Diceros bicornis minor: one gene and its partners. The protein of the gene in region 2 interacts with the protein of the main gene of each other region in a pairwise test. Links are inferred from orthologs where the notes say so. Each region holds a gene or a part of one and is shown on either strand. Other genes may lie near its edges. The genes, in order: PSMA1, CEP70, MFAP1 and KANSL1.

The links.
Region 1: the proteins of CEP70 (region 2) and PSMA1 interact in binary tests that used the Homo sapiens proteins (3 or more experiments, as listed by UniProt). The two-hybrid records come from large-scale screens. The link is inferred for Diceros bicornis minor from reciprocal best matches to the Homo sapiens genes CEP70 and PSMA1.
Region 3: the proteins of CEP70 (region 2) and MFAP1 interact in binary tests that used the Homo sapiens proteins (3 or more experiments, as listed by UniProt). The two-hybrid records come from large-scale screens. The link is inferred for Diceros bicornis minor from reciprocal best matches to the Homo sapiens genes CEP70 and MFAP1.
Region 4: the proteins of CEP70 (region 2) and KANSL1 interact in binary tests that used the Homo sapiens proteins (3 or more experiments, as listed by UniProt). The two-hybrid records come from large-scale screens. The link is inferred for Diceros bicornis minor from reciprocal best matches to the Homo sapiens genes CEP70 and KANSL1.

What each region holds. Positions count from the first base shown.
Region 1 is NC_080746.1:72,487,352-72,494,526, forward strand, and holds the start of PSMA1 (proteasome subunit alpha type-1), read right to left. Parts: upstream 3,017-7,175; 5' UTR 2,937-3,016; coding exon 2,934-2,936; intron 1,641-2,933; coding exon 1,596-1,640; intron 1,325-1,595; coding exon 1,223-1,324; intron 1,103-1,222; coding exon 999-1,102; intron 1-998. UniProt on the Homo sapiens protein: Component of the 20S core proteasome complex involved in the proteolytic degradation of most intracellular proteins. This complex plays numerous essential roles within the cell by associating with different regulatory particles.
Region 2 is NC_080741.1:14,631,551-14,639,181, forward strand, and holds the start of CEP70 (centrosomal protein of 70 kDa), read left to right. Parts: upstream 1-4,623; 5' UTR 4,624-4,696; intron 4,697-4,951; exon of another isoform or gene 4,952-5,114; intron 5,115-5,231; exon of another isoform or gene 5,232-5,460; intron 5,461-7,631. Other genes in the region: FAIM (fas apoptotic inhibitory molecule 1), read right to left, coding at 1,226-1,392.
Region 3 is NC_080744.1:41,112,234-41,119,307, forward strand, and holds the start of MFAP1 (microfibrillar-associated protein 1), read right to left. Parts: upstream 3,010-7,074; 5' UTR 2,890-3,009; coding exon 2,811-2,889; intron 1-2,810. Other genes in the region: WDR76 (WD repeat-containing protein 76), read left to right, coding at 4,995-5,054, 5,697-6,107. UniProt on the Homo sapiens protein: Involved in pre-mRNA splicing as a component of the spliceosome.
Region 4 is NC_080757.1:44,760,553-44,767,863, forward strand, and holds the start of KANSL1 (KAT8 regulatory NSL complex subunit 1), read right to left. Parts: upstream 3,022-7,311; 5' UTR 1,956-3,021; intron 1-1,955. UniProt on the Homo sapiens protein: Non-catalytic component of the NSL histone acetyltransferase complex, a multiprotein complex that mediates histone H4 acetylation at 'Lys-5'- and 'Lys-8' (H4K5ac and H4K8ac) at transcription start sites and promotes transcription initiation.

The DNA of each region.
Region 1 (7,175 bases), on a different chromosome or scaffold from region 2:
TTTAGAGAAACTGGGTTAAATAAAACGTTTGACAATGCAACATATTTTACATTTTCAAGAGCTGACAGAAACCGATAATGCTGTCACTATATTGCTGACCTAAGACAGCAGGAGGCTTGCTAGATAACTTGAAAATCTTAAACATTAGCTTTACTACTTGTCCTTAGTGTTTATATTCTTTCTTCCCTAATGAAATCACAGACTTTAAGAGATTAATTTTGGCAAATGACCTCCCACTTCCCAACACACACACTCATATATTACCTGAAAGGCACTATGTTAAGTGCTCTATGTGTTAGGCTATTTAACAATGACCTTGAAACAGAAAAATACTAGAAAAATTGAGAGTTTAAGTAACTAGCCCAATCTCAGATACTAAGTGGTGAAAGTGGGAACTAAACTCAATCTGCATGATTTCAAAGCCCCAGTTCTTCATTTATACACCGCCTCTCAACCAGAAATAATCTCTATCTCCTCTGGCCTCTCACAGAAATCTACCTGTTACTCTCCACTTTCTACTTTGTATTATAGATACGCTACTAGATTTTGAGTTCCTAGAAGACAAGATCTATGTCTGATTCACCTTTGTATATCCTGCAGTATCTAGTACTGTGCTTTATGAAAAATAAATGTCTAATAAATACTGGCATATTAAAGAACGCAAAGGTAGTTCGGCTGATCCTTAGAAACCAGACAAAAATGTCAAGCTCTTCTTAGACATAACATTGTCTCAAACAATATATAGTGAGTTAACAAGTATTATTCAGTGACTTCCTAAAAGCTTTAATATTAATACAGTCAATTCTATTAGTTACGACAGGGATCAAGAAATGGAATACTTAGTAACTGTCCCCAAATCCACTAACGTATTCACAAGCTTAACTTACAAACACTCTGGCAGTCAGCTTCCTAAAATATCTTATCTGGATCTTTTCAAGAAATGTAATCAATTACGAATCAAAAAGGGTATTTCTTTTGTTTTTCATGATCATACTCACCACAGCAGTCTAGCATCAGCAGTAAGTCCCGCAATTGAGATACCAATATGGTTGTCAACATGGAGAATTTTTTTCTGATGAGCTGCAAGCTCTGACTGTGCTCTCTAAATAGAGATGTCATAAAACACAAAAACAAGTTTACAATTTTATTATCTATACAGTGAAACTTACATTTGATAGTTCTGTTTTCTAAAGGAGGAAGATATATTTATTGCTTTACTTACCTTCAATGCAACCAACACTGCATGAGTTTTCGATTTCAGACCAACTGTGGCTGAACCCTGTTTGACAGCTTCCATTGCATATTCAATTTGATGAATCCTGCCCTAAAGAGAAAAAAACCACACATCTTAGAGTCATCTTATAAGACGCTTTTATATATTTAAAGTTAGAGTTCCCAAATCTCAGGTGAGCATAGTTAAATCTCAAATGATTTTTTTTTTAAGTAGGAAACTTACTTTAATGATAAATTTAGGTTCCAGGAATGTCTAAAACAGTTATATTTCATTTTCTCCCAACCTACAATGTCATGAATTTATAAACACACTGCAGCTACCAAAAGCTACTTCATAGAAGTAGTATAAAACATTATTTTACCTGAGGGCTCCAAACAGTGACATCGTTGTCATACTGGTTGCGAAACTGAAAGTAAAAGAAAAAAGACCCATTAATACAAGAGCATTACAAATTCCAAATCTTAGCAAGCTCTATCATTAAAAAATGGTCTCCCATCTGTTTCCACTCAATATTAATGCAAAGCTGTTAATGCAACCTCACTGAAGATTACTACTGCACTCAGTTGCAAGCCAATGCTACATTTACCATGAGCTAATGGTGGGGGGCAGATCTAAATGGCACCTATCTTCCCACTGCCAATTCTACCAGTGTTCACAGCACTCCTTTTGGGTGCAGTTACTGAAGTTCATTTGCATCAACTGTCCTTCCGTTCTTTGCTTATGCTTTTCCTTTAGACTGGGCCCTAATAAATGGTCAAAAGCATTCTCTTTCCTTAAACTAGCTCAAATATCTATCTCTTTAAGTCTTCTCCATCTTTTCTCCCAAAATCCAACGCATACTCCCACCAGTTCTTTATCTACATGTTCCTTTTTACCGTATATTATGATTAGGGACATGTCTGATTTATCTTTGAACCCTCACTGCACTTAAAACAGTGCCTTGTATAAACATTCATATTGAATGAATAAACACAAGAATATCCTCAGGAAGTTAGAGGTGGACACAAATACTATAAGACAGAACCGTTACTGCTTTAGTGACCACATTAAAACAAGTCTCCAGCACAGTACTTGGGAGAATGACCATGGGGATGAGAAAGCTGAGGTGCTGGAAAGGTAGACATAGGACAGGAAGCCCTGAGCCCTAGACTGTAATCCTCATTCCATTACTTTTCTCAGCCTCGGTTTACTCATCTGTAAAACCAGGTGACTGGACAAAGTGACTGAAAACGGCCTTTTCTGATCGAGCTCTGGAGGAGAGAGATATCAGACAAGCCCACCAGGTAAATGGACGCGGTCCAGGAACCCAACCCCTGGGTCCGCACTTGGCAGTACAGGGAGGCCTCTTAAGTCAAGTCCCCATTTTCTCCCCTCTCTCCCACACTGAGCACGAGGGGTCACTCTGGACCGCTCAGAACGTACTCCACTGAAGGAACGAACTCCGCTAGTACACCAAGAACGTGGTGTCCGAGGCCCGGTGGAAAGGGAAACAAGCCCGGGGAAAGGCCGCACCGACTACCGACCGCCCCTCTCCCGGCCAGGCCAGAGATGCTGAATCACTGCCGGAACCCTCCCGTCGGCTGAGGTTCCCATGCCCCGTGGCCCCGGGCCGCTCTAAGAATGACAGGAGAGACGGCTCGCCATCCCCCAGTCAGCGGACCTCTGCCCCAACCCTGCCTGGGCTCGGAATCCGACGCACCATGGCTCCGGCGCGGGCCTGACTGCCACCTCCTGCAAAGCTGCGGATCGAGGAGCACCGCCGAAACTACCGCTCGGCGATCTACTGAGAAGTCTGCGGGATTTTGACGGCGGCGGCGCAGGCCAGAGCAGTCTATTCCAGAAATATCGATAGGCTTTCAGTGCTCCCCCGCCCTCCAAGTTCTCGGCCGTCTCGATAGTGGGCGGGGCCCCGGAAGATGGAGGAACTGATATTGGCGGGAAAGCTTGGACCAGGAGTGCCCGCTAGGGCTAAGAGCTGCGGAGCGGCCACTATCAAGTCACCCTTTTGGATCCTCGGAGAAATTACCCGTGTGTTGCAGATTCCCGCCAGTTTTCACCGACTCAGCCGGATCCGCCTGAAATCGCTCGAGACGACAGCTGCGACTCTGGGTGACGGACTGGCCGCTCACCCTCTCATTCGGCGTCCACAGAGATTTGGCGTGTTGTGTGTCTGTGAGAAGAAGGAGACCGCAAGAAAAGCTACAAAATAATGGACCGTTTCTGTGTGTCAGCCATACCCTTCCTTGAGTATCTTGTTTGTGCACATGCTTTTCTTTCTACTTTGAAATCCTTTCACCCACTCCCTGGAGAACTCATCTTTCAGGGCTTTGCTGTCGTTGATCACTGTTTATCGCTATTATTGGTTTCCCCCCACCAGACTTAACTCTTTGAGGGCACTAATGTCTTTCTGTGCCCTCAAAACCAAGCACGATGCCTGATATACTAGGCTACTAAGGAAAAAAGTTGACATTTTCTTCTGAAACACGCATTTTCTCTTTTGAGAGTGTCTTTTAGTAAGTCCCAAATGAAATAGTTTAGGACACTCTGCAAACAGCTGCCCACCTAATATCTACCTACTGCCAATGACTTATTTTCTTTACAAAGAAGAAAGGATGAGTAACTAGACGCCGGAAAGGTAAGAGTTGAAAGCGTCCTTAAAGATCTAAGTTTTGCAGATGAAATAAGAGACCCAGATCACTTAAGTGATTTGCTCAAGTTCCGAGCACTTTAGTATCTCACTCTTTTTAAACCTTTTCGGTTATATATTTTGGACATTTTTTCATGTTAAACATTTTCCAGGTTAAACATGACTCCCTAGTATTCTGCGTTATGAACATATGATATTTTATTTAACCAAATCCCTATTGTTTAATATTTAGGTTCCCCCATCCCTGCTTGATATATTTTTTTGTGTACATCTATACTCCTTTCTTTAGAATAAACTCCTAAACATAGAATTTTAGGGTCAAATGAAATGGATATTTCTAAGGCTTTTATAAAAAGTGCTAAATTGCCCTCCAGAAATGTTTTACCAATTTATACTCTCAACAGTAGTATATGAGAGTGCTCTTCTCCCTAAATTCACCAATACTGGTTGTTGTCATTTTTCAAAATCACTGTTAATTTAGTGGATTAAATGAACAGATTTAAATTAACAGATTGTTCTCTTTTGTTTCCTAGCACCTAGCGCAATGCCTAGCACATATTAAGTGCTTAATAAATACTATTAAATGAATGAATGTTGAATGAATGATTAATAAATGATCCTTTAAAAATGATTATATAGTAAACATTCTTTTCTACATATCTCTATATATTCAAATGCCTCACACATTGTGTATAATAAATATATAACTCTTTTTACAAATAAAATCATACTAGACTGTTTTATACTAGACTTAAAAGGTTATGGCCACCTTTTCATGTCCATAAGTAATGATCTGTATTATTTTCAATAGTTGCCTAGTATTCCATTGTGTAGAAATACAATAATTTACTTAGCAATGGGTGAGCAATTAGATTATTTCCAAGTTTTTGCTGTTATAAAAGTACTATAATGAATATTCTTGTACATGCACACATGTTGTATGCTTTCCTGATTACCTCCTTATGATGAATTCATAGAAATAGAATTGATGTTCAAAGGGAACCCAAATTTACAATTATGATAAATATGGCTAAATTGCAAAAAAAAAGTTATATCAATTTATTTTCTACAGTGCCTGAGAGTCCACATTATACCTTCACCAATACTGGATAGTAAAAGTACTTTTTACCTTTATCAAGTTGATAGGCAGGAAGAGAAAAAACCTCTTGCTTTAATTTTATTTGTATTTTTTGATTACTAGTAAAAAAATCTTTTCAGATATGTTTTGGCTGTTTATGTTACTTTAGTGAATTGCCACTTCATTCCTTTTCTCAATTTATGATTGTGTTAATCATTTTCTCACTGATTTGTAGGAACTCCCTGCCATTAGGGATGTTAACCTCTTATTACTGTGTTACTTTTATAGAAAGAGCCTGTTGGATACAAAGAAAATAAACCCACTGAAGCTAGCTCAAGTAAAAGTGGAGGGGTGGGGGTGGGGATATTGTAACTATGTAACAGAAAATCACATAAACATCCAAGGATAGGAAATTTCAACTTTTATTTACTGAAGTATTCCTAGTGCCTGGAACAAAGCCTGACATTATAGTAGGCACTCACTAAACATTGGTTGAATGAATGAATGAATGAAAGAATGATGCATCTCTCACTCTAAAACCTGTCCTTTTGATTATTATCTCCTAAGCACATATCTGGGGCTTTGGGATATATCCTTCATTCACAGTGATTGGCTAGCCTCTTCAGAATGGCTCTTTTCAAAGCTCCTCTTGTAAACCATCAGAAGGGACATTTTTGGCCTTTTTGTCAAAAGGGAAGATCCTAAGCACTTACTAAAGATTTTAGATGACTTTCAGCTCCTCTATTCATGTTTTGGGAATTTGGCTCAGGATACATTTTGGTCCTTAACCAGGAGCTGAAAAATTGATCAATAAACATATTTTTTAGGAAGACTGGGTCAGCAAATGTAGCACTACTTCTTTAATTTAAAGGTCATTGGTAAGTTATATCAGACTTTTTTAGAATCAAATAAAAATAAATTCTAAATAAAAGGCAAGTTGAAAATTTTTTCCCGTGGACATGTAAATCTCATTGTGTTACTCTGTTTAGCAACTGTGTTTGGAGTGTTGAACAAATGAGTAGGGTGTGATTGCAAATAACACTCTTTTCCCAACACAAGTTAAAACAAACCCTGTGGAGTTAATTTTTCCCTGATCCTTGGATGAAATATGGCACAAATATCATGACTCTTCTGACATTCAAGTAAAAAAAAAGTTAACTAGTCAATTCAACAGCCTCAGATCAGTAATTAATAAGTTCAATATAATAATAAAAACTTTAGGGGCAAAGCCCCTTCCCTCCCCCAGCTTGACCCTGCTACCACGGCAAAAGGGGAATGCTTGACTTCCTCTCTACGTACTTGCCTAAAATTTCTCCCCTAACGCCCCCTCTCACCACAACTACCAGCTGGGTTGCCTTACTTCTCCCTAGTTGAAACAGAGGAAAGAGCAAGAGTGTTCTTAACTTGGCTAGTACAGTTCTGTGATTAAGAGTTGATGCTCTCTGAGCTTAGCAGGTGTTTACACTTGACCCTTGTTACTTTATGTATTCTTTGGAAACACCTCCATCCTCACCTTACCCCCATGAGCAAATACTGGCAATCTCTCACTTGCACTTGGGTAAACACATGTCATCTGGCCTTTAGCTCAATGTCAGTTGCTAACATCTGTGGTATACACCTCCAGCTTCGTTCTCCGCAGATCTCCTCATGCTTCCACTTGATTGCCTTCAGTGGCCCGTATCTAATCCAAAGAAACACCCACAGAGTGGCTTTGCCTCACGCCTCTGGGAGTGTAGACTTGGGCCAAATCTAAAACTTATCTTTCCAGTTAGTCAGTCAAAATTTCTTGCTGCCTACGTTTCACTAGAATGTTAGCTCCATGAAAGCAGGAGCTTTTCATTTATTTTGTTTACTGCTGTAGTCACCTGTGCCTAGAATAGTGCCTGTACTTAATAAGAGCTACATAAGGATTGAATGAATGATTTCCTCAGATATGAGCCAGACGCTAATCCTCTATGACCCCCCCACCGACACCCACCCCCAACTCTAGAAGTCATTTATCAAAGTTCCATTAAAGCCTCTCCCTAGGCCTTAGGAGAGGAAAAAGCAATGTCAACACATACCACACCAAAAACCCTCTCAAAATCTTCAATTTTTTTCTGACTTAAAAGTGGGTAGACAGTTGAGTTGCAAAAGCAGCACCCCCCCTCATTCAATTTCTTCTTTTGGTGGTCTTCCACTTTACTGTGGAATGTGGGAATAGTTGGTGCTTTACT
Region 2 (7,631 bases):
TTTTAAAATCCCTAAAATTACAAAATATTAAAGTGATATTATCTAAGAAACCGTCCTCACAGTTCATGAAACTATCTTCTCCCTATGGGTGCACAGTTGGATCATTCCAAACAAAGTCACCTTAATATTAATAGGATTAAGAATCTATCGGTTTACCCACAACAGTATTCTAAGCTAGGCTAGAGAATAACGCTTGGAAAGGTCAATAAAAAGGCTGTACTTCTCCCTCCCTCCATTTAAAAAGCACAGTATTTAATTTTGGCTTTTCTTTTTCAGATCCAGTCCCTCCAAAACAAGAACTCCCCAAACCTTGCACACTTAAACCAGTGACTAGGGATTCATTTTAACAAAAAGCGTTCTCATTTGTTATACTAACACTGAGAAAAAGAGAAGTCATGGAAGACACATCCTATAATAGAGATAAAAATGTTATGGAGAACAGTAATTCTTGTCATTACTATAGGAAATCGTATTAAAAAAATAAAAGATTCTGTGTTGTCAGAAGTTTCTGGCACAACTTAAACACATATTTTTGATGTTACTATTTTTATATAAAACATATAACTACATATGTTTATATATAACATATATTTATATATAATACATAATTAATATGTTGAGATAAGTAGCATTACAGCAATAATGATCATGGCTAACAGCTATTAAGAGGTTACTGTGTGCCAGTCACTGTTCCAAGAGCTTTACACATATTAACTCATAGAATCCTCACCATGAGATGGGTACTATTATTATCCCTATTTTATAAATGAGGAAACTGAGGCTCAGAGCGGCTAAGGGCTTGTCTAAGGTTACAGTGTCAAGTAAGTGGCAGACGGGAGTTAAACCTAGGACGCCGGCTCCAGAGTCTGTTCTCTCAACTAACTCCTACTCTTCATTCACTCTAATCTCCTTTGTTTGCTCTAAATCAGAGATGGTAAATGGATTTTATATCATTCTGAAGCGATTTCCAAGAACTCTGTGCTGAGAGGGATTTGGAGACCTTACACCCAGGTCCTGTGGGAAAGGATGCCACGTTAGTGGTGGCCACCTCCACGCCAGGCATTTCCCACACAGTGTTCTAAACCACAGAAAAGCAAAACCATGCATTCTGCAATCTTACAAAATGTGTCCTTAAAAAAGCAGCCTGGATAAATAACTCTTCTGAACGATGAAAACAATCCTGAAAGTTTCAAAAGCTAGTTTTATTGCAATGCAAGACATTTACCTTTCGTCATCTTCAAAGATTGGACTGTCATCTCCAGATGCCATGGTTGGCAAAATAGTCTTTAATCCAATTAGCAGCCAGGAAAGAAAAAAGCAGAATTGCAGCAAAGAAAGAAGAGAGCAACAAAGATGACATCTGCAAAGGGTTGTTCTAACGTTGCAATCCATTTCGTAAATTGCATGTAGTTTCTGATGAAACAGCTTTTACATACAACAGAATTGCAATCTCTAATTTTCAGGGAGAGAAGTTAAATCATACAAATTGGCCAATCATATTTTTCCCTAGTTTGGATTTATAATTTCCCAAAACTAGAGAATAAACTCTAGTTCATTTCAAGTATTACACCACACCAGAGCCATAAGAGACAAGTCCTCTGGGTCCCATGCTTCTCAAATTGAGGCACAAGAAACCCCAAGGGTATGAGGCAGTGGGTCAGGGAATACATAAAACTCCAGGATAAACAGAATGCATTTTCTGGAGGAACCAACGTTACAGGGTGGTAACAAATTTAAAATGCAATCTTTATTCTAAATTTCGGAAGGCTATATTATGGAGGAATATATAATTTAAAAAATTTTTTTACTTCAAAGAAATGTTGATTTTGTAGGAAGCAGCCAAGGATATGCTAGTTTGCTTTCTAAGAGCAAGCTTAATTTACCCACCTACTCAAGCCCACTTAATTTACTAGTGCCAGTAAGGAATCCACAGAAGTTACGTGGTTTGCTTAGGTCACTAGCAGGGCCCAAGCCAGAACTAGAGCCCAGGACTCCTGTGCAATTAATTAAACAGTAACTGGGCTGTAGTGCTAATTAAATTTTACTAAAATCAGAAGCACACATGTACTCAGATGCTTAGGAAACTCTCCACATTTGAAGATTTGGGATTAACAGGTGTACCCCTGCCAAACCTATTGGAAAATAAGCTCAACCGTTTTTTGCTCACAAGATCTACTCTAGCCTTCTCCCTCTAGATGCCCAAGGGTGTTCTCGCCTTGTTAAAAAGGAGAGATTGCCAACTTTCTTAAACTGGAAACAGCTAGAAGCCACAAACGGTTTTTAAAAAGATGAACAGATTAGCACCCATGAAAGCAACCCAGTGGGCAAAGAAAAGCTAAGAATTTTAGAATAAAAACTAGGTAAAGATTCAAAACACTTTGTACCTAAAATAAATCCCTCTTTTTTTACTAGCACCTTACAAATGTGTGGATTTTTCTAGTCTTAAGAAGCCCTAGGATATCTTCTATGAAGGTGGAGGGTATCCTGCAACTGTGAAAGCAAAGAGAAAACAGAGCAAAAGAGCAAGCCAAACAGCATAATATAAACTTGGATAAGGCATCCTTTGTAAATCAGAGTGGACTTAGGGATATTATTCAAATTTTGCTCTACAACTTTTAGAGATTCTAGAAAGTTCAGTAATGCAGCATTCAAACTTGAAAGAATTGCCCCGTTTTCCATTATAAGGAACTTCAAATATTACTAAATCACATTAAGATAAGGCATGGTAGCGTCTTAATTACTATAACTTTTCATATGGAAGTGTAAAAGACAACACAACAAATTAGAAGGGAGTTAGAAATCAAGATCACATCTCTTTTTTTTTAATTTTCTCTAAACTATCAACATTCATTCATACATCCAACATTTATTTATGGAGTATCCACGTCAGGTGTTAAAAACGTTTTGGAAATAGACAGTGGTGATGGTTGCACAACATTCTGAATGTACTTAATGCCAACGAACTGTACACTTAAAAATGGTTAAAATGGCAGTTTTATGTTATATATGTTTTAGCACAGCTTAAAAAATTCATACTGTAATATACAAAAAACGTTTCATGCTTTAAAAAAAGAATTTCATGCTTTAAATAGGTAAATTGTATGGTATGTGAATTATACCTCAACAAAGTTGCTTAAAAAAAAAAAAAGACCTAGTTGCCCCGCTGGTTGTGTTTCTTAGAATGTACTTACACCTATAACGAAGAGGTGATCACATCTGTCCTTGTCCCCCGATTTCTACTTTACTCATGTAAACGGGAAATATCTGTCACACACAGATATCCAAGTTACAAACTGGACTTAATAAACATGTCATATTCTGAGGTCATCGAGCACGCTAAGTTATTGGTCACTTCTGTGCCAGGCATTGAGCTGGGCACTAAGCTCAGAGTGAGGGACTCTGGAGAGACCAAAAGATAATTACAGCACAGCCATGGCGGTGTCCTTGTAAAGGGGAGCAGTAGAGGACAGAGTGGCCCATAGAGCAAGGACCCTAGCCCTGCCAAATGTGTGGCAAGGCCAGGGAAAGCTTCGGTTTAAAACTTGGGAGAAAGGAATTAATCCACTGTCATTTTTAAACTCCTATACATACACTTAACGTTCAAGATCATGCGACCAAACTGGAAAACAGGGACAAAGAAAACTTCCCTCTATTTTAGCACAAAGTTTTAAAAATGTAAATGAAAAGGATGGAAAACAAATTCCATTTATTTTGATTGACGGGGACAATGTCACTCATCTGAAACTTCTTACATGTCTTCAAAGAAAGCTTTTTGAGTATCTAGTGAGGTACCCATCACCATAATCTTTTAAAATCCCTTCCCTAGCAACTCAACACCCATATTTCAGAGTGCGACTTAAACATTAACACGTTTCCACTGTTCATCTAACCCCAGCTTGAATGTTGCCTTAACTTAGGTTTAACCGTACTGGGGACTGCAGTGGTTTGTCCAAGCTGAACGCAAGTCAGTTTTTAAAATTACTAACAAGCTCACAGTTCCCTTTTCAGCAAAGCTCCCGGTAAGGCCAGCCACAGGTAGGTCCCCCTTCAACAAACGGGTGCTGACACTGCACGCCCGGTCCCCCGTGAAGCACTGGGACCTCCAGCAAAGTCGGTCAGGAAGCTCCTAGAGCCAGGTATTCCCAAACGCTAGTGGAGGTACAAAAACGAGAAAAACTCTTCTGAGGACCATTTTGCAACCTATAGCACAAGCTTTATGAGGGATTAACTCTAAACAAATAATCATGCCCCCAACAGCAGAAGGAACAGTGCTCAATGGAATTGCTTTTTGTAAAAGCTAAAAACTGAAAACCACCTTTATGTTCACCATCAAGGAGGGACTCCGTTAAGTAAATCACAGTCCTTCACTCAACAAACTGAACGCCCGGCCCGGGCCGGCGCCGGCAGGGTGCGGCGGTCAGGCGGGCACACAAGCCCGCAGTCTAGCGCGGCCACCAAAAACGACTTGGAACACTTACAGCCGCGGGCAGATGCACGTGCTGGATTAGTAAGAGAAAGAAGCCAAGTTACAGCACTTTATAATCCAAGTTCTGCAAAAATAGCCTGCTCACGCTGACAGGGAAAAAGGGGCTGGAAAGAAACGCAGCGCAGTGTAACCCGGTGTCTCCGGGGAGCAGGGGGTCGGCTCCCGGGCTTCCTTCCCGGGCTTTTCTGCGCCGCTTTTCCACAGCGACAGGTACTAATCGTATGGTTGGGCACGAGGCCGAGGCCGGGGCGGCCGGTCGCAAGGCCTGGCCGGGGAGGGGCGCCCCGCTGCCCCCGCCCGCGGCCGGCCGACGGGAGCCGCGGGAACTCGGCCGGCGCGGGCGCGGGCGCGGGCCTCACCGCAGGGTCCCGGGGCCGCGCACACCCCGCCGCCCGGAGAAGGCCGCCCAGGCCGCGCGCGGGGGCTGCCAGGGGCGCCCCCCGCGCCCCCCGGGGGCGGTCTCACCTGCACGCCGCGGCCGCGGGCGGCTCCGGCCCCGCAATGCAGGGGCAGACTCGGCGCCGTAGGCCGCGGGGCCTTGCTCCCCTCGCCGAGAGCGGCAGCCGCTCCGCGCAAGCTACAGCCCAGCGCGCCGGCTCTTTGTCGCGCTCCCGGGCCCCGGCGGTGCCCGGCGCAGGCCGCCGCCGCCGCTGCCGCCTCGCCACTCGGCCGCGCCAGCCCCGCCCGCTGCCTCCGCGGAGGCCCGGCCTCACCCCACCCCCACCCCGGAAACATAGTCCCGCACCGCGTCCTGGCGTCCTGCCGGCAGACGTCCCTAGGAACCAGCCGAGCGCCGGCGCTGGGCGGGACGCTGGGGACACCAGGTGGGCAGACACAGCCCCCGGGCCTGCTCTGAAGCCTCGGAGCAGGCAAACCTGATCCGGCATTCGCTGCTTGCAACCTGTTGATGGCTTCTGGTTACTCCTTTAGTTTAGAGACCAAAGCTCCTTGTGGGCGTGAGGCCCCGTGTACGATGCAGCCCCTGCCCAGCCGGCTTCATTTAGATCCTCACATGGTGCGAGCTCCTTCTCACCCCAGGGCCTCTGCAAGTGCTCTTCCCTCTGCCTGGACACGCCTCCCTGCCTCTTCCCTTAGTTACCCTCCATTTTTGTTGTCGAGATTGTTCCTGAAATATTTCTTAAGGAAAACTATCCCGGCCCCTCAGACTTGCAGCGCCTGGAATTCTCTTAGTTCCTTTCAGGGTGTGCAATCATTCGTGTAACTTTTGATTAATGTGTAACTTAATAGTAGACTGAGGTATGTGAAGGCAGGCACCGTGGCCGCTTGGCTCCCTCTCTTCCATCTCCCACGTCTGCACAGTGCCGGCTCATAGGAGGCTCTGATAAATTATTGAATGAAGGACAGTGTCCCCTGCACAGAGGGAGGAAGGTTGTTGAGTGGGCCATCTGAGGAAAGAGGGAGTGGTCCCCGTGGAGAGTGGGCCGAGCAACAAAACAGAGACATGTGAAGGGATTCTGGAGGGGTTCTGAGGGCCCAGGGGATCTGGGGGCATAGGGGCATCCAGGCCCTATTGTGCAGTTGCTTCCTGCAGCTTGATGTTGAGGTAAAGAAGGATTATTTCACCTTGGCAATCGGTAGGGTGGGTGTGGTTTCTAGATGCTGAGCAAGTGTGTGAGAGAAGGGAGAGTTGAGAGATAACAGGGAACAATCTATTGATTAGGTTGTTAGACTGGTTAGTCTGCAAAGTAATAATGACTGAATTCTTCAGCAAGTTATGTTACAGGAATTCTGCTTAGTGAGCCCTGATTTCTTGTTTGCTACCCTGTATTGAAAGCTCCCCAAAGATGAAGACTTTTCATATTTGTTTTTTTCTTCTGCACTGGTGTCTTGAACAGAGAGTTTTCAATAAATACTTGTTGAAAGAATGAATTAGAGGGGAAAAGTAAAAGGCCCCAGAGTGGAAATTTCCAGAGATAGGACAAGGCTAGCTGAAGACACCTCCCTAATTCCTTTTTCCTAGTCCTTATTTCTTCAGAAAAACAATCCTGAGTTGTTGGGCTAGGACCAGGAAACCCTGGTTGGGCGGCAGCTCAAAGATATTGTTCAATGAAGAATCATATTTTCTTACAAAACTTCAGGAGTCGGGATATCTTTTACAAGACCAATAAGGTGTAATTTGTTGAATGCTTGCTATGTGCCTTATATATGATGGCCTGTGGTGCTCACTAGAGCCCAGTGATAATATTTACACCCATTTTACAGAGAGACCCAGAGCCCTTCAGAAGTTGCAGGGCTAGCATGTGGAAGCGGGCCTGTGGCATTTGAAAAGTTCATGGTAACAGGGCCTATTATTAGAAAAGTATTAATTGTGCTTGAAGAAAAATCTGGGCCCTGTCTTTGAGACCTGGGGAATCCCTCTGCCCAGGGACCCCAGAGTGCAGTGGAGTTCACCCTACCCCTCGGTGCCTATTCTGCACCCAGAATAGGCAAGGCAGTCTGATTCCTCAGCTGGCTTGTTCTGTGCCACTATTTCCTCTTTGGGTATAGTTTCTGGGGTACCTGAAGTTAAGGAACATGCTAGTTTGGGCTATATTGTCCACCTGCTCATTCCCTGGGCCTAGGACACTGGAGACAGGAATAGTCACTTGTTACTAGACAGGATTGTTATGGAAAGAAAGAAATTCTGAAAAAAGCACTGTGAAACTTGAGTATAAAACATACTCTTCCAGGCTGATCCTGCTTTTTTGTGTGTGTGTGAGGAAGATTGTCCCTAAGCTAACATCTGTGCCAATCTTCCTCTATCTTGTATGTGGGACACCACCACAGCATGACTTGATGAGGGGTGTGAGGTCTGCCTCCCAGTATCTGAACCCACCAACTCTGGGCCGCCAAAGCAGAGTACACCACTGGGCTGCCCCTGATCCTGCTTTTGACTTTATTTTCAGTCAGATTGTTTCCTTGTTTCCTGGCAAGTACCCTAGATGCTGTTCTAACCTCTGAAACTGCCTCTCACCGACTTACCCATAGACATCAGTGTTTTATTTTAAGAGAACAGCTAAAAATGCTTTCATTCACATTAGTCCGTGTTTTCGTTGGGCCTCCGTTTGAAAAGGGAACTGTTAATGGGTTAACTGATATTCTGAACTTGCTTTTTAAACAGCATGAATAGAAATCAAAATAAAAG
Region 3 (7,074 bases), on a different chromosome or scaffold from region 2:
ATGTCATTATATATTTGTCCAAACCCACAGAATGTACACCACCAAGAGTGATTCTTAATGTAATCTATGGACTTTGGGTGATTATGATGTGTTAATGTAGGTTCATTAATTGTAACAAATGTATCACTCTGGTGGGGGATGTTGATAATAGGGGAGGCTATGCATGTATGGGGGTAGGGAGTATATGGGAAATCTCTGTACCTTCCCTTCGATTTTGCTGTGAACCTAAAACTGCTCTAAAAAAATAAAGTTGTAACAAAAAAAAGAATAAGAATGTGAGGTGGGGGGGAGGGTTTTTGTATCAGATTGCAAGGCTTATTTAAATTCACAGGAATTAAAACAATATGTCATTGACTCGGGGTACATAGAGACCAATGGAACAAAGTAGAGACCAGAGAAACAACCTATATGAGAACTTGCTATATTACAGAAGTGACATTAAAAAGCAATGGAGGGCCGGCCTGGTGGCTTAGCGGTTAAGTGCGCACGCTCCGCTGCTGGCGGCCCGGGTTCGGATCCCGGGTGCGCAGCGACACACCGCTTCTCTGGCCATGCTGAGGCCGCGTCCCACATACAGCAACTAGAAGGATGTGCAGCTACGACATACAACTATCTACTGGGGCTTTGGGGGGAAAATAAAGAAATAAATAAAATCTTAAAAAAAAAAAAAGCAATGGAGAATGGATAGGCTAGTCAAACAATGGAGTAGTAGGAACAACTGGCTAACTCTAAGATAATAAGGTAAAATTAGATCTCTAACTGACACCATACACACAAAAAATTCCAGATAGATTAAAGGCTGAAGTGTGAAAAACCTATCTTAAACATTTACATCCCTACTGGACTGTAAGCTCCTTAACTTAGTCTGTCTTGCACAATTGTGTATTCAATCCTACTTAGTATATACAAACATTCAGACGATAGAAAACTGAATGTCTATGATCTCAGTGTAGGGAAGGACTTCTTAAACAGTATACAAAACAGCACACACCATAAAAGATAAAATTGATAAATGTGATAACACTAAACTAAAAATGCCTGTGTAACAGAAGACTCCATAACTAAAGTTAAAAAACAAGCCAAAAAACCTGGGGAAATAGATATTACAGATTTAGGATGTATAAAAACGAAACAAAGGGGCCGGCCCGGTGGCGCAAGCGGTTAAGTGCGCGCGCTCCGCTGCGGCGGCCCGGGGTTCGCTGGTTCGGATCCCGGGCGCGCACCGACGCACTGCTTGGTAAGCCATGCTGTGGCGGCGTCCCATATAAAGTGGAGGAAGATAGGCACAGATGTTAGCCCAGGGCCGTCTTCCTCAGCAAAAAAAAAGAGGAGAATTGGCGGATGTTAGCTCAGGGCTGATCTCCTCACAAAAAAAAAAAAAAAAAAAAAAAAAAAAAAACGAAACAAATAGAAAACAGGTAAATGACAGAAACAGGTAATTCATAGAAGAGAAAACCCAGAGAGTGGATAAACGCACGAACAAGATGCCTAGTCCCACTAGAAATCAGGGAAATGTAAATTAAAATAATGAGATATCGTTACACACTCATTAGACTGGGCAAAAATTAAAAAATCTGATATAACCAAGGGTGTGGATAAACACATGGAGAAATAAAAACTCCTAATGCTCTTACAATCCACTGTGGAGAGCAACTGGCAACAAATTGAAGATGAACTTCTAGGAGTCTACCCTAGAGAAATTCTTATACAAGTGCACTAAAGAGACACATTTAAGAATGACAATTGCAGCATGTTTGTAATAGGAGAAAAAACAACACAACTGTCCCTCAGTAGGGAATAAACTGTGGTTTAATTATACAATGGAATTTATAAGCAATTAAACTGAATGAACTGGATCCATATGTATCCAAAGGATACTTCTCAAACGCCATGCTGAGTTAAAAGAAAAAAAAAAGGCAAGCTGCACAAGGATGGGTTCAGTATATTCAAAAAACACAAAAGTAAGAACTGTTATTATTTTCCAAAACCCTTAATGAAAAAATCCTGACTCTTTATTCTGACTCCTCAAACAGAAACGGTGTTCCTTCTTCCATCTGCACTCATTGGAATCCTATCTGTCCTTTAAGGATCAACTTAAATGCCACCTTTCTTTCAAGCTTTCCTTGATTACCCCAATCTGAAGAGATTATTCCTCCTCTGCCCTCCCACAGTATTTGGTTTATATCACCTAGTGACAGGTATTACAGGTGTGAAAGACTGTACACTGTTTAGAATGTGCCTCTTTTTGCATGTCTCACATCTATTAGAATACGAGTTCCTTAAGGTTAGGGGGACTGTCCTACACAACTTTGTATTCAATTTAATAAATACAGTCACTGCCTTGGCTGACAGGGATAAAAAGTTTAATAAGACATAGTTCCTGCCTCAAGGAGGTTATGAGCTTATGATGTACGAGAGACAGATACATAAATAATTATAACGATGAGTTATAAAAGCAGCATAAACAGACTGCTATGGATAAAAAAAAAGAGGGACTGTATCCCGCACAAATCCCTGCAAACAACAGGCATTCACTATATATGTTAGTCTAACGAATTGGTGGAGGCCAAGGGAAGATAGGTGCTTGCTGTAGGTGAGGGCAGACAGGCTATAGGAACAAGATGAGATGGAAGTGGGTTTTCTTTACCCTAGGCAACGTGATCGGGTGCGAGTGTGACGGGGAAAGTCGAAGAAATAGGGGGCAGGGTCTTAAGGGTCGGTGGGGTTGGGGTGGTCGGCCCGGGGTAGGTTTGGAGTACGCTGAGGAAGGAAGAGGCAAGACCCGACTGGAAAACGGCTCAGCACAGTACCTTTCTCATTGCGAACCGGGACGGCCCCAGCCGTAGACTGAATGGGCGGTTGTTTCATGAGTGCGCTTGGGACCGACATGTTGACGACAGCAGCGGTGACTCCCGAAACTTTACTGATTCCAAACAGCGAACAGCTTCAACGTCAACGAACAGAAAACACCTCCCAGCCTAGAGCCGCTAGACACGGCTGCGGGACTGATAGAAACGCCACTTACGGCTGGGCTAGAAAAACCGGAAATATGCGACCAGAGGATTGTGGGATTGTGGAGGACCTCTGGGCGACTACCGCTAGAACACCGAGTCTGTTACTGCGCATGTTCATAGGCTGCCCTAGCGTCCTCAGTCTGGAAGTACATATTTGGACGTCGGTTGTGGCGGGAAATTGCTTCGGTTGGGCTTTGCGGTTAAGACCCTGCGGCGAGGAAGGTCCGAATGAAAGGTTTCGCTTGTTAGCTTGGTTTGAAGCCGAGGAAAATGGGATAGTGATGAATAAGACACTGAGGAGATAGTGAAGGGCAGTTTGTCCAGACTGTAGAAAGCTCAGAATTAGAGTTTAATCGGAATAGAAATCCTGCTAATAGTGTCTGATTAATTTAGCTGATGAGGCTGAGTGGGTTTTGGTGCGGTACTTTTTGGTCACGCGAGGGCAGGTCGCGGTGATTTAGGCCAGTGGCAAAAAAGAAAGAAAGAAAGAAAGAAAGAAAAAAAATCCCCCAGGGGGCCTGAGTCAACGCCTGAAATCCGAACATTCTACTTTTAGGCTTTCTGGTTCTTTCCGCTTCTGGAGACCACCTTTTAAAATATATTCCTGGCTGGGAAGTGTTTGTATATAAGTCTTTGAGTAATTATTAAGTACTTGCTGTGTTAACTGTGCTTAGCTCTCTGTAAGCAGTAACGAATATTGTTAAAAGGCTCGTATCCTCAAGAAGCTTTAATTTAATTTAGGAAGTCTTCAAGGGCTTATAGAATCATAATAGAAGCAATCGCAATTACTAGCTCGGTTATATAAAAAAAATTGGCTAATTAGAAGTCAGAACACATTTCACTGTAGAAGGGATTTTAAAACTGCTATGGTTGGGAGGGAAGGGACAGCATGAGCAAAGTCTTGAAGTCCAGAAATAGCGTATATATCAGACACCATGAAAAGTGTGATTTTATCAGTAATTTTTGAGTCAAGGAGTGGTGAAAGTTTGGCAGGTACCAGATCAAGTAGGGCCTTGAAGGTGCTGTTAATAGGATTAGTTCTCAAATTATTTCACTTGTGTTCTCAACTTGAGCCTAGGCTGGCAGAAGAAATAAAAGGAACAGTGGAGGACTCAGATAACCAACCAAGGGAGCAGTTTTGGGCTAGAAAGAAAAGGACCTTAAAAATAAAGTAGATAGAAATTTATATTATGAATTTATCAGCTCCAAAACTATGCTGTCCAGAGGGAGTGTGATGGGAAGGCAATTGTTTTGGCTCACAGCAACCCAGAGAATAGAAAAAAAAATTTAATATCGCTGCGACTATAAGAAATACAGTGCACTAAAATCTTATGTTACTTTGTGATACAAAAATTATTTGATTCACAACTTTTCCCTAGCCTTTGGGCTTTGTAAGGTCCTCATTAGGATCTTAGTTAACTGGTGGACAGATGATCAGGTGAAATTTAAACTAGCTTAAGTTATCAGCTCTTGAAAAAAAACTAAAAAAAACTTCCCTTCCTAGGAATAAGATAATGTGGTAGCCATGGGGCCTAATTTCCTGGTGGTGGTATAAGGAACCAGGGGGCCGAGGTAAGGGCTGCATGTTGATTGCGATTTCCTTTGCTCTCTATCCGGCATCTAAGTGCGTCTGAATCTTTTCCAGCCTCACGTTGTAAGGCAAGGTGGCTTATCCTCAGCAGAAGCGCCAGTGTTTTTCAAAGTGAGATACTGGCGTCAGCAACATCAAAATCACCGGCATCCAAGGTAAAAATGTCGATTCGGTCCCATCGCGTCCCTCAAGAATTTGAGTTGGGGGTGAGGCTGGTAGGCTTGGCTCCTTAAGGGACGACGGTAACGCCCGTGTCGCCCCTCCCCCCCGGCCAGCTGGGATCTGAGCGCCCGCCGGCGCCGCCCGGGCTCCGCCCCTCCCACTCCCTCCCACCCCCGCCTCCCGCCGCAATCTTGGCGGGAAGACGCCAGCTGTTAAGCGGCGGAAAGATGTCCGGGTCGCGCGCGGTGGCTGAGAAGGCTGGCTCCAGACAGCGACTCCAGGTGAAGGTGAGAAAGGGCTTGTCGCTTTCGGGTGTGCTCCTGACTCAGTCTTCGAGAGGGATCTTCCGGGCACAGGCCCGGGAGGGCACCAGGACTTGGCACCCGGCACCTCCTCACTCCAAAACGATTTCCCGCCGCTTGGGGCATCCCTCAGCTTAAAGAGTTTTTCGGGGTGTTGCTTCAAAAGATAAGCGGGGATCCCTGCCCTGGTTTCCTCTGTGAGAGTAGGCTGCGGCATTGAGGAAGGTTCTTGTCAGTAACCCCAGAAATAGTGGCAGGATGGGATCAGGGACTCTGCATTTGCTTTTGCAGCAGTTAGTGTCAGCTTCCTACTCTTGAAACAATTCCATTTACTCAGAAGCTGACAGTTGGGGTAGAGTCACCTTAGATACAAATTGTAGTCATTATTATTATTGGTCTGGCAGACTCATATGGGCAAGAAATGTGCCCAGTATAATAAATAATTCTATTCAGGTTAATGAATTAAGTATCTAGGTTTTGGAGGAAAAAAGTTTCCTTACAGGCTATCAGTTTGGATTTATGTTGTTATTATGAAATAGGAATGAGATTTATTTACACAGATCTGTAAGAAAAGACATAGGATCTGGGATTCTAACACTCTCCATTTTCCTTTATTGACCTGAACAGGTGAATGAATATAAAGAAAACCAAAACATTGATTTTGTATCTCCAAGGCCAGTACAGACTACAGTTTTAGGAAAAACAGCTAAGGTGTGTCTTGTCCCCTTTTCACTCAGTAATTACAAACCAGACCAACTTAAGTGCCCCAAATCCCTCTTAGATAAGAATTCTAACAATGAAGTGGCGTGTAAGAAATGTAAGAAGATTGAAATAAAGAAAACTTGCAGAAGAATTTTAACTCCAAAGATGGAAGCCACATCTTCCAAGGCAGAATCCACTCTGCAAAAATCATCCTTAGATGTTCATACTGAAAGTAACAAGCAAGGACACAAGAGCACTTCAGATACAGTGATTCTCAGTGTTGATATGGAAAGCAGTCAGGATGGAGACAGTGATGAAGATACCACACCAGGCCTGGTAAGAATTTAAATACCAGCTTATTCAAATTTTTCTTAGTTTAAAATTTGAAGTTCTGGTAAGTGAAGGTTATCAGAGGTCTCTCTAGCTCAAGCAGATTGTTTTATCTAATTTATGTTTAATTGAAAAATTTTTTAAATGTTTAACAGATAACTTTGTTGAGTTAATTTTGCTCTTGGTTTTGATTTGTCAAGGAAAGGATTAACTTAATTTTCACTCTGCTTCCCTTTTTCTTCCTCTTGGTTTATTGCATATATTTTTGAGTTTACGCATACTTTATGGTATCTTGCTTACCTTTACGTATTTATGCACAATATACCAGAAGTTGGCCTGTGGGACATATGGCATTTGAGTGACCCTTGATGTCAGGGTAGGAAAATCATCATTAATTGATTGCATTGATGTGCTGAATAATATTTCCATTAAATACAAAAAGGAGACAAATGATGGAGTAGAGAAGATACACGAGAAACACTTATTAGTTCTGTTTAAAATAATAGAATCAGTTTAGGGAATTAGGCATCTAACTCCTTTGGCTTCGATTGCCTACCAGGAGTGTTGTACTTCATTTAAAGTGACAAATTTTATGCAAGACAAGATAAAACCCTACCACATGACAAAAAGGTTGATGGAACTAGGGGAACAGAAAATGATGGTAGGGAAAGGGAGATAGGATAATTGAGGTGGTGGTATTATGAAATAGGAATTCAGTTTATGCTTTATTGTCCCAGAGGTAAGGATTAGCACCTGTGGTGGCACAGTGTGTGGTAAGTCATAAATGCATTGGAAGCCTAGGTTTTAGGCATGGCCACTTCTAAGAAACCTTGTGCCTTTAAGCTAGTCACCTCTACGGTGAGGGAATTGGATAAGATCAGTGGTTCTCAAACTTTAGCTTGTATTAGAATTACCTGGAGGGCTTGTTAAAACTCCATTGCAGGGCTCCACCACCAGACTTTCTGATTCAGAA
Region 4 (7,311 bases), on a different chromosome or scaffold from region 2:
GCCTAACATTTAAGTAATGCCTGATAGAACTAGAGTTCATTCTGAAATAAGATAATCAGAAACAAAGAGTAAGAACTAGAAAATGAACATTTTGGCTCCAAAGTATACATTTTAATTAGCCTACCATTTTTTTTACTTAAAAATAAGTAGCTATAAACTGAAAATACATCTCAGAAAGATTTTAAGGACATTCACAACTGAAAAAGAGAAGAAAGCTCTCCCCCTTTTTTCACCCTGTAAATTCTACGCTATCCTCTTCTCTCAAAAAAGTGCCTTTTTTCCTGCCCAGATCAAACACTACAGTTTTTAAGTTTTTTTAAGGAATAAAAGGAGGAGGAAAATGTCAGCAAATAAAAAAATTGTTTAGACTCAGAAGAGGTCTTCCACTGATCAAAGGATTGGTAGGGAACATAAAATTAAGGCAGCCACACAACTACATTGTTAAGTAGTTAACAGGTAGCAACTCACAGAGTATGGAGTACTGACTTCCATTCTGTATTTCTGCCTTGCCAGAGGCCTTTGGTACAACTTCAGGAGTTACTGTGGAACTATATTATAATACCCTAGGTTCAGAGACTGAGAGGAAAAATCTTAAACATCATTTCATCTTAAAAAGCAGGCCTCTATGTACCTAATACATTAATTAAAACCAAGGAAACTGTAAAATAAAATCCAATATATTGATCCCAAATTCCTTGGGTTTATAGGGAACTAGTACCCACTGATATCCTCTTGACTGCTTCCTAAAGAGAACAGAGGCCACCAGGTCCTGGTGCTAAACACTGATACCAAAGAAAAATAGTTTCGTGCAAGCTTCTCCAATTCCTATGAGTTCAGGACTTCTGGCTGGGTTCCCCCACGCAACCCCTCCAACTCTACAGGGAGAATGGCTTCCCTTATACTAATATAAGCACCCATCACCCAACAATAGCAGCTAGAACATAAATGAAGATGAGAACTCAGTCTGCATTTACCTAAAGATTTCCCACAGTCCAAATATTTAAGTGACACAGACTGCATTATTGTCTGATTTATTCACTACATTAATCTGGAATTCCACAGGGCAGATTAACACACAACAATCTTAACTACACTAGTATCTAGCTCCAAAGAAAGGCAACACATGTCACCTGGTGAAGCTGGTGGAGGACTCCATCACTCCTTATCTGTCTCTCTCCATCCTTCCTCCTACTTTCCTCCCTACACGTCTTAGGCTTTGCCCTCTGCTTAGTCCTATTGGAGAATCCTTTGGCCATCTATATAAAAGAGATTGGAAGGAGCCAAGAGCCTGGAGAACCACCACATCAATGAGAGCTTTCTCATCTAAAGATCATCTGTCCACACTGCCCAGAAGAGGTTTACTCTGTGAGATTAAACTTGGCACAAAGTGCTCTCTGTTGAGAAAAATAGTGTAAATTCTCAGGCAAAGGACTAGGGAGCAGCAGAACTCTCCAAAAGAGCTGTACATGTAAACCAACAGATCTTAGAATGTTCTAATATACTATATGAAGTTTCAGAGTAAACAAATGGTTAATGACACATCTTTTGTAACACATGAATCAGCTACAGATTTGCAAGAGTGGGACACACCCTAGTACCTATGACTGTTTCAAAAGTGGACCTGGATGTCTGAATTGCCAATCCATCCCACTGAGATTGGAACAGAATTGTACAACTAGGCAGGATGTCACAATTTAAAGTTAAAAAATAAACACATCATGATAATGAAGTTAATTTGAGAACTTCATTAATATTTTAAGACCAATAATCAATAGTAGCAATACAAAGTAAGGAATAGCCAATCAGTCCTAGGAAGCAAACACAATAGTAGTTTTCCAGGGGAAAAGAGTGTGGGTGAGAGGGTTGAAGGACTGCAAATTTAAGAACGAGAATATTCTCATTTCTAAAGGAAAAGAAATAAAATGAGGCCTTTAATTTAAAAAAACACATCTTACCTTAAGAGGCATCCAAATAGCATTCATAGTGTCAGGAATAGTTCAGACAATACTCAGAAATGAGCAAGAAGGGAGTTGTAGTAATCCCTCAGTGACGAAGTAGGAGCAGGTAGAAAAATTTTTTGTTTCAAGAAGGTATCTGAAAGAGAGGACTTGCATTTAGACTAAAAAATAATCAAGAATAAGCAAACAATTTAAGCTATCTAGACATAGATTTGAAGTACTACTTCCTTCACCATCCTAAAAAGATGTACAAAACAGTCCCCTTTGGGAAAGGGCAAGTGTGTGTATCTCCATATATATGTAGAAATATATTTTACATAAAAAGTGGATTAAATGTGTAACACATACTTTAGATAATACAAAATTGCTTATCAAATAATTAGAAAACCATTATCCCAGATAGAAAAATGATTATCCAGCGTACTTCATAAACACGATTGAAAAGTCATTTGTTAACTGACCTTTTAAGAAAGACCCTTGTCATGTTTAATTTTTATTTAATAAATTAAAACCGCTCTGATCATTCCAATTGTCCTAAATTTTATTAAGCTTGTTTCAGAGTCGAATTCTACGTGAAAAATAAAATCTATTCTTAAGTGCTAGTAGCAAATAAAAGACAGAGATCTTTAAAAGCAGAACAAACAACTTAATTTTGAGGATGGGAGGAAGGCAAGTTTGCCTGCAGGTAGGAGGATGGCTTAAATGACCTCTTGTAGGATCCTTGTTCAAGTCCTCGGCCTGAATGAAAATTCCAGCTTAACCAGTTACTGCATCGCTTAAAATGGAGGCTTGCCCGAGTAGGGACAAAAATAACAGCACCCACCTCTGAAAAATAAATTTCGAAAAATCGAAGACTACAGTACCCTCATTTTTAAGAAAAATTAAAAATAAAAACCTCTGGAGTGGATTTGTTCTTGCTATGCGTTTGTCACTTCGGCTACGAAGACTTGGCATCACTTTCCTTACCGGTCGTCAGATTTTTTTTTTTTTTGCAGGGGGGGTGGGGTGGTTTGACTCTTGACCCCAGTCTCAGGAGGGTTTAACAGCCCCTCCATGATCCCCACCGCGAAAGCCAAGAGAAGAGAAAGGAGAGAGCCCGAGTTCCCACCCCTCCCCCCACCGTGGACCCTAGTCCCAAACCTACCCCCCCCTTCCCTCAGAGGGGCGCCTCCTTCTGCCCCATGCCCATTGTTAGGGCGGGGGCGCGGGGGGAGTGGGCTCAGGGCAGGGGCGCCTGAGGCCGTGGCCCCGGCTCGCTTCAGGAGGGGCGGCCCGCAGGATGCAGCTTCCCTTCCTCTCGGCGTCGGTCCGTCCCACCTCGGCTCGGCCTGGCGCCCCGGACTCTGCTCGGCGCCCCCGGCCCGGGGCCCAGCCCAGCCCGCCCCCCGGGCACCAGGCCCCTGGCCCCTCGGCCGGCAGCCCGCGGCCCAGGCCTGCGGGTGGGCGCGGAGCGGGGGTCCCCGTGCCCCACACACGCGTCCGCTCCCCCAGTCCAGCCGCTTCCAGGGCCCTCGGCGGCGCCCGCTCCCCGGGCCCTTCGGCACCCCGCCTCCCGGCCGGGCCGCCCCCTCGGGCTCCCGCAGTCGAGGCCGCCTCCCCTTCCCCGCCATCACCCCTACCGACTCGTGCCCCTACCCCCAGGGGCACCAGTGCCAACGGCTGCTCCCCCGGCCCCGGACCTACCTGCACGGCTCAACCAAGCCTAGAAGTGGGGGCGGGGAATCTTCCGCCCTCCTCTGTCTCTCATTGGCCCTTCCGGGGCACATCGTGAGCGCCATTGGCTGATGGCAGATGTCCGTCAGAGCGGTGGGGCGGGACAGAAGGGGGAGAGGGATGCTGGTGCCTCGGCGTCTCTGTCTCTGTATATCTCGCTGTCTCTGCCTCTGTCTCGGCTCTTGGGAACGAGAGACATTTGGACGAGAGAACTGGAAGGGGCCTGGAGGTGGGAGGGATAGAAATAGGAATCCTGGTAGACCTTCCCACCAATCTGCCACTCCGAACCCCCTACCTAAGTCCCCTTTAGATCCTCTTCTCCATCACCCCCAACCCCGGCCCCTCAGCCCTGTAGGTTCTTCATCCAGGAAGCGACGTGATGAAAACTCGAGCCGGAAGGCCATAGGGGGAGATTTTATATATGTATATAAAATATACACACACAAATACTTATGTATGAAGTCAACCAGATATAAGGTCATGAGGGCCTGGAAAGGAAAGGGTACACATCTCACAGACAGGGAAAGACTTTGAGATATAGCCAATATAAGAAGGAATCAAAAATCCCTCTAAGAGCTGGCAACAGTGGTTTCCTCCTGGGTGAGGAGCTGAGTGTCTAGGGGACCAGGTGGGAGGAAGACTTACATTTCACTGCATATCCTTTTGTGTCTTTTGATTTTTGTACCATTCACAAAGATTCCAATTTCTTTTAATTAATTGATTTAAATTTTAAAATAATTCTAAGGCCGCAAAACCAGGGGGACAGACAAGACGGTTGTCCAGGCAAAGTGAGACAACATGCAGATTTGGGGAGGAATCTTAGCTTTTAATATGTTCAGTTCCAGAAGCCAGTGGTAAAACCAAGAAGAGATGTGCCGGCAGCAGCTGGAGTTGGGGACCTTGGGAGAGGGCGAGCCATCTGGACTAGGGAAGGTTTAGGGTTCTGCACCTAAGTATGGTGATCCATGACGTGCTAAAAAATAAACTCCCCATAGACGTGTAAAGAGACACCCACAGTTAAAGGCAGAAGGATGAAAAGAAACGGAAAAGGGTCAGTGAGGTAAGAAAAACAGAATATTGAAGAGGCACGAAAGTTCAGGGAGAAAAGGTCTCTGGAAAAATAGAATAATAAAATTATGAGAGCCTCACCATCTTGAGGCTCACTTCAGGGGCCCTGTTTAGGCTCATTAAATAAGAACGAAAGCCAACAAAATACCCATAAAGCAGAGTTCTTAACTTTTTCGCACCACAAACCCTTTTGGCAGTCCATTAAAGTATGTGGACTCCTTCTCAGAATGTTTTCAAACACATACAAAGGAATTCAAAGGAAACCAATTACATTAAAATACAATTTTCAGAGGCTGGCCTGCTGGCGCAAGCGGCTAAGTGCGCGCTCTGCTGCGTTGGCCTGGGCTTCGCCGGTTTGGATCCCTGATGCTCACAGACGCACCGCTTGTCCAGCCATGCTGTGGCAGCGTCCCATATAAAGCAAAGGAAGATGGACATGGATGTTAGCCCAGGGCCAGTCTTCCTCAGCAAAAAGAGGAGGATTGGCAGGTGTTAGCTCAGGGCCGATCTTCCTCACCAAAAAAAATATATATACAATTTTCAAAATATTTTTTCAAGTGTGATGTAATAATATATGTGCTTTATATTGATGTATTAAATAGTATGATATAATGGCAGGCCTAATGACCACCAAAATTTGGGGAAGTAAATGAGCATAGATAATATATGTTGAAGATAAGATATCTTCAACAACTATCATATAATAGGAAAGTACATATGATTTCTATTGGTGACAAAACCGCAGACACTGCTAATACTACTTGATTTGTTGTCTCCATCCGTAATTGAAGGAAACACTAATTTTCTGTTAGACTTTAGCAAAAATAAAGGCATATTACTTTTCCTGATCCAAGTTCATAGATTTCGTAATCTGTGGGCCACAGGTTAAGAAACCTTACCTAAAAAAATCATCCTTCCCGCCCTCCACACACCCACACCGGGATGTGACCCTGCCCTTCACCCCTTATCTCTGTCTCTCTCTTCCTCTTCCACACTTGCTAGGAGCACTCTCTGGTTCCCAGTCCCCCCCTGCAGATGCCTGATGCCCCCCGTGACACAAAGAACAGGGATTATGAATGAGGGTTGGAAGAAAGATAAATACATCTTGTCTATATTCAAAAAAGAAGAGAGAAAGCTATGAGGTATATTACAGAGAAGATGGGGAAAAGGAGCCCAGGATGGAGTATCATTCATTCCCAAAAAGGAAAAAAAAATTATAAAAAGAAAACATCTGGGCTGGCCCCGTGGCTTAGCAGTTAAGTGCGCGCACTCTGCTGCTGGCGGCCTGGGTTCCATCCCAGGCGCGCACCAACGCACCGCTTCTCCGGCCATGCTGAGGCCGCGTCCCACATACAGCAACTAGAAGGATGTGCAGCTATGACACACAACTATCTACTGGGGCTTTGGGCGAAAAAATAAATAAATAAAATTACAAAAAAAAAAAAGAAAACATCTTTATCAGTTAAGAAAAAATCTTTTCTCTGAGTTATTAATTTTGCTTAAATCAGCCCTAGAAAACACCTTCAATCCAGCTCCTGATTTCATATATCTGTAAAATGGTGCAAAAAATAGTACCTATCTCCTAGGGTCTTTGTGAGGATTAAATTGTTAATACATAGAGTGGATTTGAAACAGTGCCTGACAGAGTCTAAACATTCAGTTTTTAACTATCATTATTATTATATTTGGCATCTTATATTCCAGGGCATTCCATGAAAATTCCTGGTATGATTATTTGTATTAATGACATATATAACAGCAAATTAAGAGCAATAAGAAAGTTAACCCAGAACACTTATTTTTCATTTAAATCCTTCAAAATTAGAATACTCCACTTTTTCCAGTCACATTTTCATTCCTCTAGGGGGAAAGAACATCAGTGCCTCTTTAAAGGGATTGTAAACTCAGAAAAAAATTTTGGCTACTTATATTACAAAGGGCTAATTTCCATAATACTGTACATAAAGACCTCCTACAAATCAATAAATAAAAACCAGCAATTCTCGTACAAGGCTAATGGCAGTGTAAACTGGTACAGCCACTTTGGAAAAGACTTTGATATAATCTAATAAAATTTAAGATATGCATGCTCTATTTCAGCAGTCTCATTATTAGATATATATTATAAGAAAATGCAGAGTTTTAAGTGTCAGGATTACTGTACAAGAATATTCATACGAGCATTGTTCCTCATTACCCCAGATTGGAAACATCCCAAATGTCTACCAAGGATAAAATGGTTAAATTGTGTTATATTTGTACAATGAAAATTAATAAACTATGGTTATATTCAGGAACATGAATAAATTTTTACAAAGGGATATTATTGAAGACCCACAAAAAAACAAGATACAAAGAGTATATATAGTATGATTCCATTTATAGAAAGTTCAAAAGCAGGCAAAACTAAACGACATTGCTTAGAGATGCATAGATAGGTGGTAAAATTATAAGGAAGAGGAAGTGAACACAATAAAAGTCAGGAGAGCCAGTATGTGGCCAAGGGAGTTTCATCTGATTGGGAGTGGGGATTGTTCTCAGGGGCTGGCAATGTTCTACTTTTTGATCAGGT